Coturnix japonica: one gene and its partners. The protein of the gene in region 3 interacts with the protein of the main gene of each other region in a biochemical or structural test. Links are inferred from orthologs where the notes say so. Each region holds a gene or a part of one and is shown on either strand. Other genes may lie near its edges.

The links. The genes of interacting proteins can lie anywhere in the genome.
Region 1: of the proteins of BTRC (region 3) and CCNE1, one has a biochemical effect on the other in vitro, tested with the Homo sapiens proteins (2 studies listed by BioGRID). The link is inferred for Coturnix japonica from reciprocal best matches to the Homo sapiens genes BTRC and CCNE1.
Region 2: of the proteins of BTRC (region 3) and WEE1, one has a biochemical effect on the other in vitro, tested with the Homo sapiens proteins (2 studies listed by BioGRID, with this or other methods). The link is inferred for Coturnix japonica from reciprocal best matches to the Homo sapiens genes BTRC and WEE1.

Annotation. Positions count from the first base shown.
Region 1 is NC_029526.1:7,172,170-7,176,776, forward strand, and holds the start of CCNE1 (G1/S-specific cyclin-E1), read left to right. Parts: upstream 1-1,663; 5' UTR 1,664-1,998; coding exon 1,999-2,012; intron 2,013-2,103; coding exon 2,104-2,194; intron 2,195-2,340; coding exon 2,341-2,409; intron 2,410-4,607. Other genes in the region: uncharacterized protein F13E9.13, mitochondrial-like, read right to left, coding at 763-845, 1,335-1,407. UniProt on the Homo sapiens protein: Essential for the control of the cell cycle at the G1/S (start) transition.
Region 2 is NC_029520.1:13,541,745-13,546,137, forward strand, and holds the start of WEE1 (wee1-like protein kinase), read right to left. Parts: upstream 2,945-4,393; 5' UTR 2,795-2,944; coding exon 2,228-2,794; intron 1,300-2,227; coding exon 1,091-1,299; intron 659-1,090; coding exon 592-658; intron 509-591; coding exon 336-508; intron 1-335. UniProt on the Homo sapiens protein: Acts as a negative regulator of entry into mitosis (G2 to M transition) by protecting the nucleus from cytoplasmically activated cyclin B1-complexed CDK1 before the onset of mitosis by mediating phosphorylation of CDK1 on 'Tyr-15'.
Region 3 is NC_029521.1:20,074,594-20,079,038, reverse strand, and holds the start of BTRC (F-box/WD repeat-containing protein 1A), read left to right. Parts: upstream 1-1,329; 5' UTR 1,330-1,429; coding exon 1,430-1,477; intron 1,478-4,445. UniProt on the Homo sapiens protein: Substrate recognition component of a SCF (SKP1-CUL1-F-box protein) E3 ubiquitin-protein ligase complex which mediates the ubiquitination and subsequent proteasomal degradation of target proteins. Recognizes and binds to phosphorylated target proteins.

The sequences.
Region 1 (4,607 bases), on a different chromosome or scaffold from region 3:
TTCCATTTCATTTTGTCTGTAAAGTATCATTGTAATTTCTGCTGCTGAAGTGTAACCCAGTAGAAACCTACTCAAAGTTTAGCAGAAAACAGCAGCTCAGAGCTGCAATGGTGGTTCAGCAGTAGCCTTCTCTTGCCTCCACCTAGAACGGTCAAAGCAGGAATGGCTGCTCCCATGGACTAGGATCCAAGGATTACAGTGGGCAGAGAAGGACCTAGGAGAATCTTTTGGTTGTAGAATAATGCTACTGCAGTACAAACACAAACTGTGGGGAAATCCTACAGCCTGTAGGCAAGTCATTCAGTACGTATGTCTGTGCCATGATTTCATGAACGCAGTGTGCCAAGCAGAGCTAAGTAAAGCAGCTTGTCAGACTGGATGATGAAGCATCCTACATCCAGATACCTAGAATGCCAGCAACAGTTCATATTGCTGTCAGTTTTCCATCTGTTTTATTTTTTTTTCTCTTTTATTGACTTGATTCTTGGGAATTGATAGTAATCCTATTTAAAAGACTCAAATTAGTTTGAATCTAAGCTTTTCCAGTTCCACAGGGTGTGTGTGTTGTGTAGTTCAGGTTTTGATACTTGGAGGGCCTACTTGTGTGGAAATAAAAGGTGCAGGTTTAAATGTCTTCCTGAACTCGGTGGTTTTAGGTGCTTTCCATGATTTCTAGGTCACTCAGACTCAATTCAATTCACTGGGTGTGCAGAAGCAGCTTTGTGTAAATACTGCCACGGGAAGAAGGAAACCAGGACTTACAACTCCAGCATCCTTGTAATCTTCTGCTTCTTGACAAGCTTGCTCAATTATTTGTGCCAACGGAAGAGAATTTCTCGGTGTCCCTGCAACAACAGTGCCATTTACCCCAATGTGAAGGCAAGCCATACAGCCAGTGATGCTTTTCTGATAACGCAGTTATATGCGCTGACATAATAAAATAGAGAGAAATGGGGTAAAACAGTTAAACGAGATGTGCTCCCCTTTGCTGAACGTCACAGCTCAGCTGTATCTGCTCGCTCCTGAAGCCACTCACAGATCTGAGGGTATTGATGCGGTGTTGTACCGGCACTTTCAGCTCTTTTACGGCCCGGCACACAGCCATGAGAACTCGGGCCGGACGCAGCACCACAGGGAGCCACGTGTCCGAGCTGTCCCGAGGCCTGTGCACTCCGCCCGGCCTATATCTCGTCATCCCTCATCTCTCTGAGCGCTCCCCCAGCGCTGCGGGTTCCCTCAGGTGCCCGTTCTTCCCCCGACCCCTACAGCCATGCCGCCCACTTTGCGAGCGGGTCCCGCAGCGCCGCGTGTTCCCCGTCCCGCCCCGCGCTCACCTGGCAGCGCAGCCACATGCACCACGCCGAGCACCGCCGCCCGCAGCCGCCCGAAGAGCCGCGGCCCCGCCATGGCAGCCCGTGTCTTTGGTCCCGCTGCCGTCGGCTCAGCCGCTCACCTCGCTTCACCCCTCCGCCGCGGGGTCGCGCCCGGGGCCTCCCGCCCCCCTCCCAGCTCCGCTTCCGCCCGGTGCCGCCGGCCCCGCCCCTGCTCACACCGTGTGATCCCGCTCCCCGCGGTGCCCCGCGCTCCCCCGGGGCCGGAGCGCGCCCGCAGACCCCGCCCCACCCGGGTGCCGGCCCCCGGCTCTGGGCGCGGGGCCACGTGTGCGGGCGGGAGGCGGCCCCGCGCCGCGCGTTTAAATGTCCCGCTCGGTGCGGGCCGCGATGTGCGCAGGGACGGGAGCGGCCGCGCCGTGAGGCAGGAGCTGCCCGCGGTTGGTGCCCGCAGTCGGTGCCGTGCCCCGCACGAGCTGCCCCGCCTCGTCCCCGCCGCCGTCGGGCGGGCACCGAGCGCCGCGCCCGCGCTGTGTCCGGGGAAGCTCCGGGGTGCTGAGCGCTCAGCGGGTCCCGGGGCGCGGCGGGGCCTTTCCGCGCCTCGTGGCTCTTTGTGGGGGCTGCGGCTCCCGGCTCCGCTCGTGCTCTCGGTCCGGCGGCGGGCAGCATGCGGAGGGAGAGGTGAGTCCGGCCGGCCCTGCGGGTAGGCCGGCTTCTCCGTTAGCGAGGCCGGGTGGGCGGCTCTTTCTTAACGCTTCTCGTTTCTTGGCAGCGACTGCGCGGAGGAGAAGGCTCCCGCCAAGGGGGAAGGGGGCGCCGAGGGGACCGTGCGGGCCCGCAAGAGAAAAGCCGATGTGGCCACGGTGAGTGCAGGCCCGGCGGGCGGCACGGCACGGCCTGGAGGGCGGTGCGGGCCTGGAGCTGCTCCCGCGGCCTTTTGTTGGGGGGTGGGTGGCCATGTGCTGCAGGGGGGGTGAGCGGCCCTAAATCCCTTCTTTTCTTTTTGTAGTTCCTACAGGATCCCGATGAAGAAGTTGCCAAAATTGAAATGAGTAGGAAAAAGCAATATGAAAGCCAGGTAATGACTGTGGCCTTAGATCACCTTCCTTTGGTCTTAGTAGCCTGTTGGTGCAGGATGTTGGTATTACACAGATATGCAGTTACCCCGTGTTGTGTGGTGGTGGTTGAGGGGACCACCAGCCCAGGCTGTTGAAGGCCACAAACCACCTTAGTGGCATGGCCTGCTTTGGAGCCTTTGCAAGGGATGAAGCCTACACTGCTTTAAACCATTACGTGAATGCTTCAGTGTACCTAAATGTCCCGGGGCTGCCAGGCTGTGCCCTACAAAAGCCTTCATACACACTTAGTTTTCCACACTGACGTACCTGGAGCCTTGTAGGAGTTCAGTGGTTCACTTACGTGCTGTATCCCGCAGGCCAAAGCATGCAGCCCTTTGGCACGCAAACAGAACCAAGTTTTGAGATGGATCTCTTTGTAACCCTGTCTTATGCTTACATATAACCTGGGAGAGAGGAAAGATCACTTGTTCCTCTTAGTTAGCTCTATTCTCATTGGCAAGTGTTTTTATTAGGTCGAGGGAGTACTTGAAGTTCCAGATTAGGAGTTTATAGTACTGGATACTACTGTGGTGGTGATGTGGGCTTTAGGCTTCTGCAGATGAAAGGGATGATTTGTTAAAAGCCTTTTATACTGTAGGCCAAAGAACAAATGAGGCTGCTCGCTGGGGTTGGTGGCCAGTGCCAGTTTCCAAATAGGACACTTGGCATGATCCAAGTTACTAAGTCAGACTGAACTCCAGTAGCATCCCCTAAACTTCTTAGTGCTGTTCTTAAGTTCTTCAATCTTGATACGTTAGTCGTGTTTATATTGGGTGCTTTATTGGTATCTGGTATTGAAAGCAAGATGCCTTTGTGCATTGAGATGCTTGCTCTAAATAAAAGAGCAAAATCAGCCTCTCGGAAGTAGGTTTATTCTTGTTTATGATTCTCTCCTGTGCATATGCACACACATGCTCACTCACTCTGTTGCAAGGACTTCAGCCAGTTAATGCACATGCAGGGTGATACTTAAGCTGCAAAAGTCATGATCAGGGAGTACAGACAGTACTCATTTGGTACGCGAGGCTATGCATAATGTGGCACATCTAACCAGAAGTGGCAGCTGGAAGTTCTAAGACTGAAGTGCTACCATAACAGATGGGCATCATTGTTTGGAATGGCCTCTGCTTGTTGCAACTGCGTACACTAGTTATCAGTCAACATATTAAGCAGGGCTCAAATGGTGAGCATTTAATGAGGGGATCTCTCCTTCCCTTCTGTCTTTCTTTTGTGCAGTATATTAAACTAATTTCTCACTACTGACAAGGAAGAGCTGCCTGTCCTTCACTGCAGACCCCTCCTTTAGCAAAACATTCTGGAAGAGCTTCTAATAAATGTTTATTCCATAATAATAAGGTACCATTGAAAAAACCCTTATTGCAATTGTAATTTGAAAAGCGGCTTGAAATATATTTTGCATACATTGATCTTCAGCTTTGGAAGTAGATACAGGGATACAGGCTTCCAATTTACTGGGGCTTTTTCTTTTTTCTTTTTCTTTCTATATGGTGTTGCTATTAAATGCTACTTCAGGAACGATAGGTATAGCAATATTCAGATAACTCAGGCAGGAGGCATCCAAAGTATTAATTTAGGAATTTTCCAAGCTGTCTTCAGGACGCTGGTGGGACTTTGGCCCTTTGATTCTGTAAACTGTAGATAAAAATGGATACCTGTGTATCAGTCTCTACACAGAGAAGGTTTTTTTGTTATGACAAAGTAGCCAGATTGTTACAGATCTGTTTAAAAAAGCTAACATTTGGCTGCACAGCAGCAGCTCTTCAGTCTATGGCTTGACACAAGCTATTCTCTGATATAAATTGCCATGGGCCACTAATGAGAATATGTTTATGGTTCCAGCAGCAGTATCGCAGGCTTGTATGATAGCCAGTGAGATAGTTATTCTGTTGAGGCACAACAATTCTAAAATGCAAGCAGCTATAAATCCTCTGCAGCCTGTTCCACGTGACTTCTACATTAAATAAACTGTTTACTGACACTAGGTTATACATGAGGCAAAATATCGTAGTCACATCCCACTTTATGGCATCTTCATAGTCAATTCATTAGTTTGCTTCTGTTGAACATAAGGCCTGAGTTCTTAATCAGAATGCTGTTACCCTTTATGTGATGGGAGGGTGGCTATATCATGAGGTTT
Region 2 (4,393 bases), on a different chromosome or scaffold from region 3:
ACCTGCCAAGCTGTATGTCACTCAGACATACCCAGCACACACGAGCACCCAGTTGTGGGAACACTGCTTTCCTCTCCTAACTCAAAGATCAGCACTGCACGGCCTATTCATACAGTACCCTCCTGCCAGTAATGCAAGGGAACATTATCTTTTTATTTCCAGATGAGAGCAAACTGTTTCCATTTAGAATACTGGGGTAAATGAGTTGTGGTCAAATGACTTCTATTCCCCAGTTTCTAAGTCTGTACAGTATTTAGAAGAAAAACAAACCAACAAACCAATCACACGCACAAAAAAGCACTAAAAGGTGGCTTGTAAGAGTAGGAAATACTCACTCATCCACTGAGCCTGCCAAGGGCTTCTTGGATCTTTTAATAGCATAAATGCAGCCATCCAGCCTCTTCACACATTTAAATACAGAACCAAATTCACCAGATCCAATCTTCTCCAGCTCGTGAAATTCAGTTGCATATCGTGACTTCATATTACTTTCTGTTATTGTGATCCTCTGCAGAGATTAGAAAAGAAAATATTAAGGTGTGCAGACATGCAAAGTGCCAAAACCCACAACAAGCTCTAAACATTCATTACCTTAGCAGGTCTGATAACTTCATCTTCAGGCTCTCCATCACTCGCTTCCATGTCCTCTCCACAAGAGCTGGAATTCACACTTGTTAGTTTTGCAGAATTAAAACAGATTTACAATTCAAGTCTAACAACTACTGACTGTTTGGAGATTCAGCTCTCCCACTCCCCTCAGGTTTAGTCTAACTGAATGAGGTGTTTATAAGGAGAAAGTCAAAACAAAAACCATAAGCAGCTCAAGCACCATTGTTATTTCACACCAGCACTCAGTGTGTTTGCCCTTCCTCAAGAAACAGCCATGTGTGCAGTCTGGACACAGCCTGATCTTTCTCCACCACGTACTAACCAGAAGATCTAATACTAAACAGTTCTTCCACACTACCACAAATCTCAGATGCACAAGCTCGAAAGCTCTTTTTCACATTGCTAACAGATTGGTAAAGAAAACTATTCTTACAGAAGCAGCTCAAGACAAATTTCACAAAGAAAGAAATACATTACTCACTCATTCCAGTGTGTTCTCTTCCTCCTTCGACACTGCCCTTCAGAGTTGTGAAGGAACATGGAATCGGGAGTGAAGGGATTAATATTCACATGAGGTGTTTGTCTAATATTTGAGTCTTGCTTCTCTGACCTCCCAGCGTTCATAAATAAGGAGCCTCCTCGGAGTTTGACTGAGCTGGAGCCCAGTCCTTGGGCTTTAGAAAGCAAACTCTGTATTTAAAAAACAGAAAAGGCATTTATGGTTTTAATATTGCTTTAGACACAACGAGTCACAAGGGGATTTTCATATAAATGATACGGAGGTGAGACTAGACACCGGGCCACGAATTCCAATGACAGGCTTTAAGCAAAAACCGACCATCTACAAGTCGAAGGGTTGTTCATTAAATCGGGCACAGAAGCCCGCAGCCGGGTCTCCCGAGGATGCTGACCGCTGTCCTACTGCATGGCCAGCAGCAGCACCGCATCCAACCAGCTCCTACCGAGCCCGAATGGAACGTCAACACTCCGAGCGTCCCAGCCCTGCTCTCCAAACCCAAACTAGACGGAGACAGTCAAGGTTCTATGGAACCTCAGCACGGTTTGCGTTCCCGCTGGATAACGTCACCGATTTTCTCGAATTCCAAAGGTAACCTCCGGGATAACCGGCGGGGAATTTGGGTTCTGATCTAAAGTTCTCCGCCGGAACTCAGCGTTAAGCTGTTTGCTTTAAGTGTCACAGGAAAGACGCTCGTATCTCTAAAAGGTTCGCTACTACTCAGCGTAAGCCCATCATCCTTCTAGGCCTTATCTAGACGGGACACTACGCCGCCGGGAAAACCTCAGCAACGGTGAAAGTTGGAAGAAAAACAAAAACCCGACCGCCAAAGTGACCGTGCCGACAGAGCGCTGCCACGTTACCGCTCCGTGCCTCGGCCTTCCCCACGAGCACGGGACGGGCACGGCGCCTCGTTCCGGCCGCTCCTCACGTGTCGGCCCCGCTGTGCGCCGCGCCGTGCGGAGCGGATGGGAGCGCCCCCCGCCCGACACAACCGCCACGGCCGCGCCCGGCCCCGCATTCCAACCGCCGGACGCGAGGGGCGCCGCCCCCCCCGCCCGGTAACGGCCGCCCCGCCCGGCCCGTCGCTGTGCCGCTCACCTTGGGGGTGTGCGGCGTGTCGAACAGCCGCAGCTTGCGGAACGTCTTGTGCGGCGGCGTGCCGGGGTACTCGGGCAGCGGGGAGCCGGGCTCGTCGCTACGCGGGCGGCAGCCGCCAGCCGCGGGATGCGGAGGGGAGCGGCCGGCCGAGCGGCGGCCCTTGTGCGGGGGCGGCGGCGACGGCGACCCGGCCATGAAGTAGGAGCCGGGAGACTTGACGGGAGACGAGCCGAAACCTTCCTCCTCCCACGAGTCCCCCTCGTCCGGCAGCGGCGCGGCCGCGGGCTCCATCATCTCCTCCTCCTCCTCCTCCTCCTCCAGCAGGGGCGGGCCGCCCCGAGCCGGGGTGCGGGCGACGGAGAGCGGCGAGTCCGCCTCCTGGAAGGCCGAGTCCTCGCCGGTGCTGTTCCCGCTGCTGCCGCCCTCCTCCTCCTCCTCGTCTTCGTCCTCCTCCTCGCAGTCGCTGTGGCCGCTGAGGAACAGCAGCTTCTGCCGGATCGGGGCGGCCGCCCGTCGGGCCGAGACCCGCCGCGGCGGCGCCGTGGGCTGCAGGCTGAGGAAGCTCATGGCGGCTCGGCCCCGCTCACGGCCGCTGCTCCGCTCCGCCCTGCTGGCGGTATCGGCTGCTCCTCGCGGCGCTGCCCCGGGCACGGCGGCACCTCGCGCCGTTCGGACTCCGCGGCTTTCCCGCGACCGTTAGTCACGTGACACGCACGCCAGCCAATGGCGCCCGCCCCCTCCGTTTGAAAACACGGCGGGCGGGGGCGGAGCTGCGCGCGATGACGTCACGGGGCGCTTTGGCGCGAACCGGGACTGCGGGGGGGGCGGGGCCGGGACCGACACGGCTACGGCTACAGGGCGGGACGGCGCCATCTTGAGCGCGGGGCGCAGCTGCACCGGGAGCGCCGCCCGGTCTGCGATCTCGGAGATAAGGGTGAAACACACGGTTAATAACAACGTTAGTGCGCAGCCATGTCTGCCTTGATAACTGCTGCTGCCTCAGCTCCGGGAGCAGAGCCCCTGGGGCAGACCTGGTACCGCACAAACATAACAAGTGCCTCACTAATTTGGCCTCGCATTAATTTGGCCATTGCCGTGACTCAGTGCCTCCCCACACTCCCAGCTCATGCACAACGAGGTGGTGTTGCTCAGAGCTCCACCATCATGTCCAAGAATGCCATCAGTTTTCCTTCTGACACAGTGCAGAGGGATGTTTCCAATTCAGCGTCATATCCCATACACTCCTCGCATTGTGATCACCTGAAAACTGAAGGCAGACAATGTAACCTATGAAAGAACAACCGGGCATCATTCACACAGAGATGGCTACACCAAGCCAAGTGCTGTACAAACACTTGCCCTGCAATAATTCAGAACTACAGTAATTCAAAACGTGAATGCACCGTGCGGCAGATACCAACTGAAGTATTTGAGTTTCAAGATAGATGGAACACAAAAAGGCCTTTACAAAATACAGCTTTCATCTTGATCAATGGCCCACAGGAGATGAAAAGCAGTTTCTTATAAAGAACCTAAAAATTGCCCCTTCCCTCCCCCCCGCCAAAAAAAAGGGGGGGAGGGAAGAAAGTAAACACTTCAGTTTCCTTTCCAAACTCCACCTAAATGTAACTGTTGCTGCACTGCTTTCTGGAGTCTACAGATACAGCTATTTAATGAGGGTAAGTAGCAAATGGAACTGCAGAAGGTTCCTTGTACAGAGTAACCACTTAACTGTTGATCCTTGTAACAGCTTAAATGGGACAACATCAAGTGGAACAAGGATGAGTTTGTGCAGAAGAGGAAATAGATCTAAAGAACACTAAGAGAAAAATGCAAGAGGAGAAAAGGAATGGTGAAAGAAATGAACAAAATAAACCCAATTGTTTAAAAAGAAAGTTTATTTCCAAACTGACAGCAAATAAGGAAGTATTGCATAAATATGCAACTATAACAAAACGTGTAGCTGCTATAAAAGGACCACGCATTCATGGCTTCTACCTACGTGCCATCCTGAATCCACATAAGCTGTTGTTTTTGCTGTATTTTGATGGGACTGTCAATAGTTGTATTGAAGAAAAGTTGGTTCTTCCCAAGCATGAGTATGGTAACTTGGCTACCCTGCCCACCATGAACAAGGACTAACATTACCAGGCCTATCAACAGCCT
Region 3 (4,445 bases):
GTGAGCCCACAAATTTAATTTAAAATCATCCTTTATTATTCAAAATATTAAAATTCAGGCAAAAATGCCCAGAGGAGCTGCACTGATTAAAGTTCCCTAATGTTTCATGGCCAAATCTTATCGCTTCCTCCAAGGGTCACTGGGACAAGAAGTGAAACCCCTCTGGAGCACAGACAGAGGCAAAGCTCTACCTGCTGTACATCCTTTACCCAAACAGTTACTTACTGACCCAATCAGCTTCACTTAAAGCAAAGCACCAGCTGTTCCTTACCCAATTAATGATTGCCACAGCAAATTAACATGGCGTTACACCAGGCGTGGATGTGGTCCACAGAGCCCGAAATGCACAGAGCAATATGCTAGTGCAAAAATAATCACAGTAATATCTTTACCGTTAGGTAGCATCCTTCATCTGGAAGGACCGGGAGCTCCCTGTGCGGTGTGTGGCTGGCTTCGTGCTCTGCAGGAAGGATGTGGAGTGCAGGGAGGGGATGTATGGTTGGTGTTTTAAGAGAGATTGAGAGGAGCTGCCAGTGGGTGAGGCAGAACTGACTATGTGTACAGCTCTAGGTTCTTGTGATCCAAATAAATTGTTATTTAACTTCTTGTAAACCCACGTTATTTCTTGGTGCTCTGTGGGTTGTCCTGGGGTGTGGGTGCTGGTGTCCTGGGGTGCGTACAGACCTCTCCTGTCCCTCTGCTCTGTATTGTGGGTCCATAATGTTCTGCTGAGGAGAGCTGAGCTGGTCTCTTCTTGTCCAAGGCGTTCAGTCTAGTTAACACAAGGATGACTCCAGTCCTTAATCAGCCATTGCAGTTATGGCTCCACTATGAGCCTGTGCTTTGTATGATCCTGAGAACTCACCTTAAAGACCACATTCACAAATCAGCCCAGAGGACAGCGGTGTCCCTTTGCGATTATAGGGCTCTCTCATTATCATTACTGTTATTTACATAATGGTGGGCAGGGTTTGCAGCACTGGTTTCCAGCACATTCTGGGTGATGCCCGGGCCTGTTACATCCATCGGGTATCACAGCCCATATGTCCTTATGAAAGGGGCCCATCCCCCCCGCACACAGCGGCCTCTATTCCGCCCCTGCCCTCCTGTTACACCGCCACAACCTCCTCCGTACTACAACTCCCATCAGCCCTCTCGCCCACTGACGCCGCGTGCGTCACCCTGCTCCCGGCATACCCGTGGCCGCACAGCCCTCCGGGATTTGTAGTTCTCTCCCACCCCTCAGGCCCTCTCCGGCGGCGCGGCGAGGGACTCCATTTCCCGTGGGCCCGCGGGCAGCGCATGCGCTTTGTTGGTAGCGGGGGTGAGGCGTGGGGTGGGGGGGGGGTGTGAGCGCGGGGCAGCGCAGGTTGGTGTCGGCGCTGGCTGCGGCCTGGCACTGCGAGGAGGGGCGGCCCCGCGGGAGGATATGGACCCTGCCGAGGCCGTGCTGCAGGAGAAGGCGATCAAGTTCATGGTGAGAGGCCGCGGGGAGCCGAGGGGGCACCTGTGTGCGGGGCTGGGCCGGGGGGAGCACGGCGGGGCGGGGGCGGGGCGGGGTGTCCTGGGCCGCGGGGGGTTCAAGTGCTGTTGGGGGACGGGAGGGGGAGCCGAGCGGGGCGGGGGGCTGCGGGGGGGGATGGAACGCGTGGGGTTGTCGTGTTATTGCCTTCGTTCGTGTACTTGAGGCTGTGCTGTGCTGAGCCCCGGCCCCCGGCAGCTGTGTGCCGTGTTCCTTTCCGCCCTGTGCTCGGAGCTGTGCGCGCTGACACTCCGCTCTCACCTTCTGCTGCGTTGCAGTGATGGTGGATGCGCGGCCTGGGCTGCTGGGCCGCTCTTTGGCATGGCAGGCAGCTCTGGGGGTGATTGCAGCCCAGATGCTCTGCACCTTTACCTACATGTGAGGCTTTACACACTTGAACTTAATTCTTTTTTGACTTCAGTTGTTGATATGGTACACTCCGGTACCATCTGAATGCAATGTCAGTTTTGTGTGCCCAAAACTGGCCTTTCCCTATGGAAGCCATCGAAGTACTTGGCAGCACCTGGTGAAAGTTGACTTAGTGTTGGCCTTACAGTCCTACAGACCTGAATCTGAGCTCATCAGAAGGAAGCGATTCTATTAAACTTATGCCCAAGTGAAATCGAGGAAGTGCTGCTTGCAAATGTTTTCTTTTTAATTGAGCTTTGCAACATTTGTTTGAATTCTGCTTTTTTAATCCCGTAGAACTTGTTTCTCTTGTGGTTTGGTGACCTTTTTGCTGCTAGCCCTGTAGTCTGGCAGATTTATAGGGTCTCTGCTCAGTGAAGTGAGAAAATGCTATGGGTACCTTAAAAGGAAAGGTAGCAATTAGTAATAATGAACCACCTTCTTGGGTGTGCAGTTGGCCAGAGGAGTGTCCCTGAGCCTGCTGTGCTCATGTTGGGCCAAGCTGGGTGATGGCAGCCTTAACCTACATTGTGGCTTCCATATCTTCAAGTGTTCCTGTGTGCTGCCCTGACATCTCATGTGTTGCATTTGTCATTCTGTGCTTCAGTTCCCAGTGAATAGCTTAGTTCCTGGCATTTGAGATCTTCCATAAGGTTGGGCCTGGGACCTGAGGGAATCCCTGCCCATCTCACAGCTGGCAGTGTGCCACCCGAACAATAAAACTCCCTGATGCTGAGGAGAGACCTGAGCATGAGAGAGAGCTGCTCTTAGGAGAGCTGCATCTGGTAAGGGCTCCAGATAAAGGGAAGAATTATTGAGGATCAGGCTTTGCTGAGAGCTAAAAGCTAAACCAAGTTCCTTAATGTTTTATTAAAGTGCCTCTTGAAAGCAAAGTACATGCAAAATTGCAGTGAAAGAGGGAGCTTCCCTCTGATCCCCTTGAACTTTTGAGGTGTACGTGTATTTGTATGGGTTGAGAGTGATAAAAGCTTTTGTTTATATTTATATATTTATACCACATCTCAGGCTTTTGCTTCGACATTAATCTGTGTAGTACATCTCTCATTTTAATTATGTTGATGAAGAGTTTTTGTCAGACTTGGTGTGGGCTTTCCCTGTTCTCCATTTGCTGTCGGTGGAGGTGTATGCAGGTAGGTTGTTCCAATAAATGAGGTCCTGTTGTAATTGGCAGCTCAATGCTGCTGGGAAGTCTCCTGTTATTTCAGTCTGACAGCACTCAGGAAGTGCTTAGGTACTGCAGCAGTGGCAGTGCTACCTACTGCATGGAGGTAGTGGATCCTCAGCTAATGCTGAATCATTCACAGCATATTACCCTGTTCATCGAGTGTGTGATGCACTTTGTGTGCTGCTCCCTTCCCTGAAGAGCTCTGCTTTGGGTTGAGGTGGGCTTTGCTGTTAATTAGAGACTTTTCCCTGAGACCTCCCCAGAGCTGATGTATCTCACCACAGATGAATATTCAAACATCTGTAGGTGTGTGATCTATTATCTCTCCAGCTTTTTTGGTGGTGCTGTTTCTGATGTGAATTTGTGCTGGGTTTCATTTTGTGTTGAAGAGCAGCCCTGTAGGTGGTGTTATTTTGGGGCTCCTCTAGAAAATAATACATTTTCCACTTCATGCGAGTGCCTCATTTTTGGCAGTGACTTTGCGCAGTGCTCCTGAGTCACAAGGTATCAGGCAAGTCAGACCTGCTGATTTCATGTCTGACACTCAGAGAAAAACGTCACATGGAATCTTTGTCCAGTGCTAACCTTATAAATGACATTATCTTGCCTTAAAAGGGGCTATTTATTTTTTAATGTGTCTATATTCATTACCTTCAAGGTAAATCCAGACAAGGTTCTGGATGCTGGTGTGTGTGTGTAACTTTTCAATGAGCCTAAAATCTCATTATTCTCCCTGGCCACTAGTGTCTCCATTACTCACTGATAAAACAGTGCTGCATTCAGGTAATATCTGCTACCAGTGTGTGTTCAGCCACCATACACGTCTTCTGATACTTTCAGCTTTAAGTAATGTATTTAACTTCATTCACATACTCAGTTTACCTCTCTGTTTCAAGAAGGCCTAATTTATTCCTGATATTCAGCTGTGGTGGATAAGCACTATGCAATACTGGGCAGCTGCTCACAGGGAGGGCTGTATCTGCTGGCGAAGGGCTGTTTTCTATCACACGTTCTACATTTTGTCTTTCAAAGCTTCTTTTGAGTGAAACTAGCACATAGATATAAAAGACAGTTGTAAATTACATAGCCCAGTGTTCTACAGCTGCACCAAGGGTTTCGTTGGAGTGGAACCTTAGTTTATTTCATTGCAGTTCTAAGAGACTGATGCACATGCTAAAAGAAGGAGAGACAGGGATGCCTGTTAGCTTAAAAAAGCTACCATCATTGACGAAAACATGTCTTACAGAGCTCTGGTTTTATTCCCTCAATAATATGGGATTTCTGTTGTCATAACCGTTTACAGAAGTATCCGGAATAAGGAACTTCCAC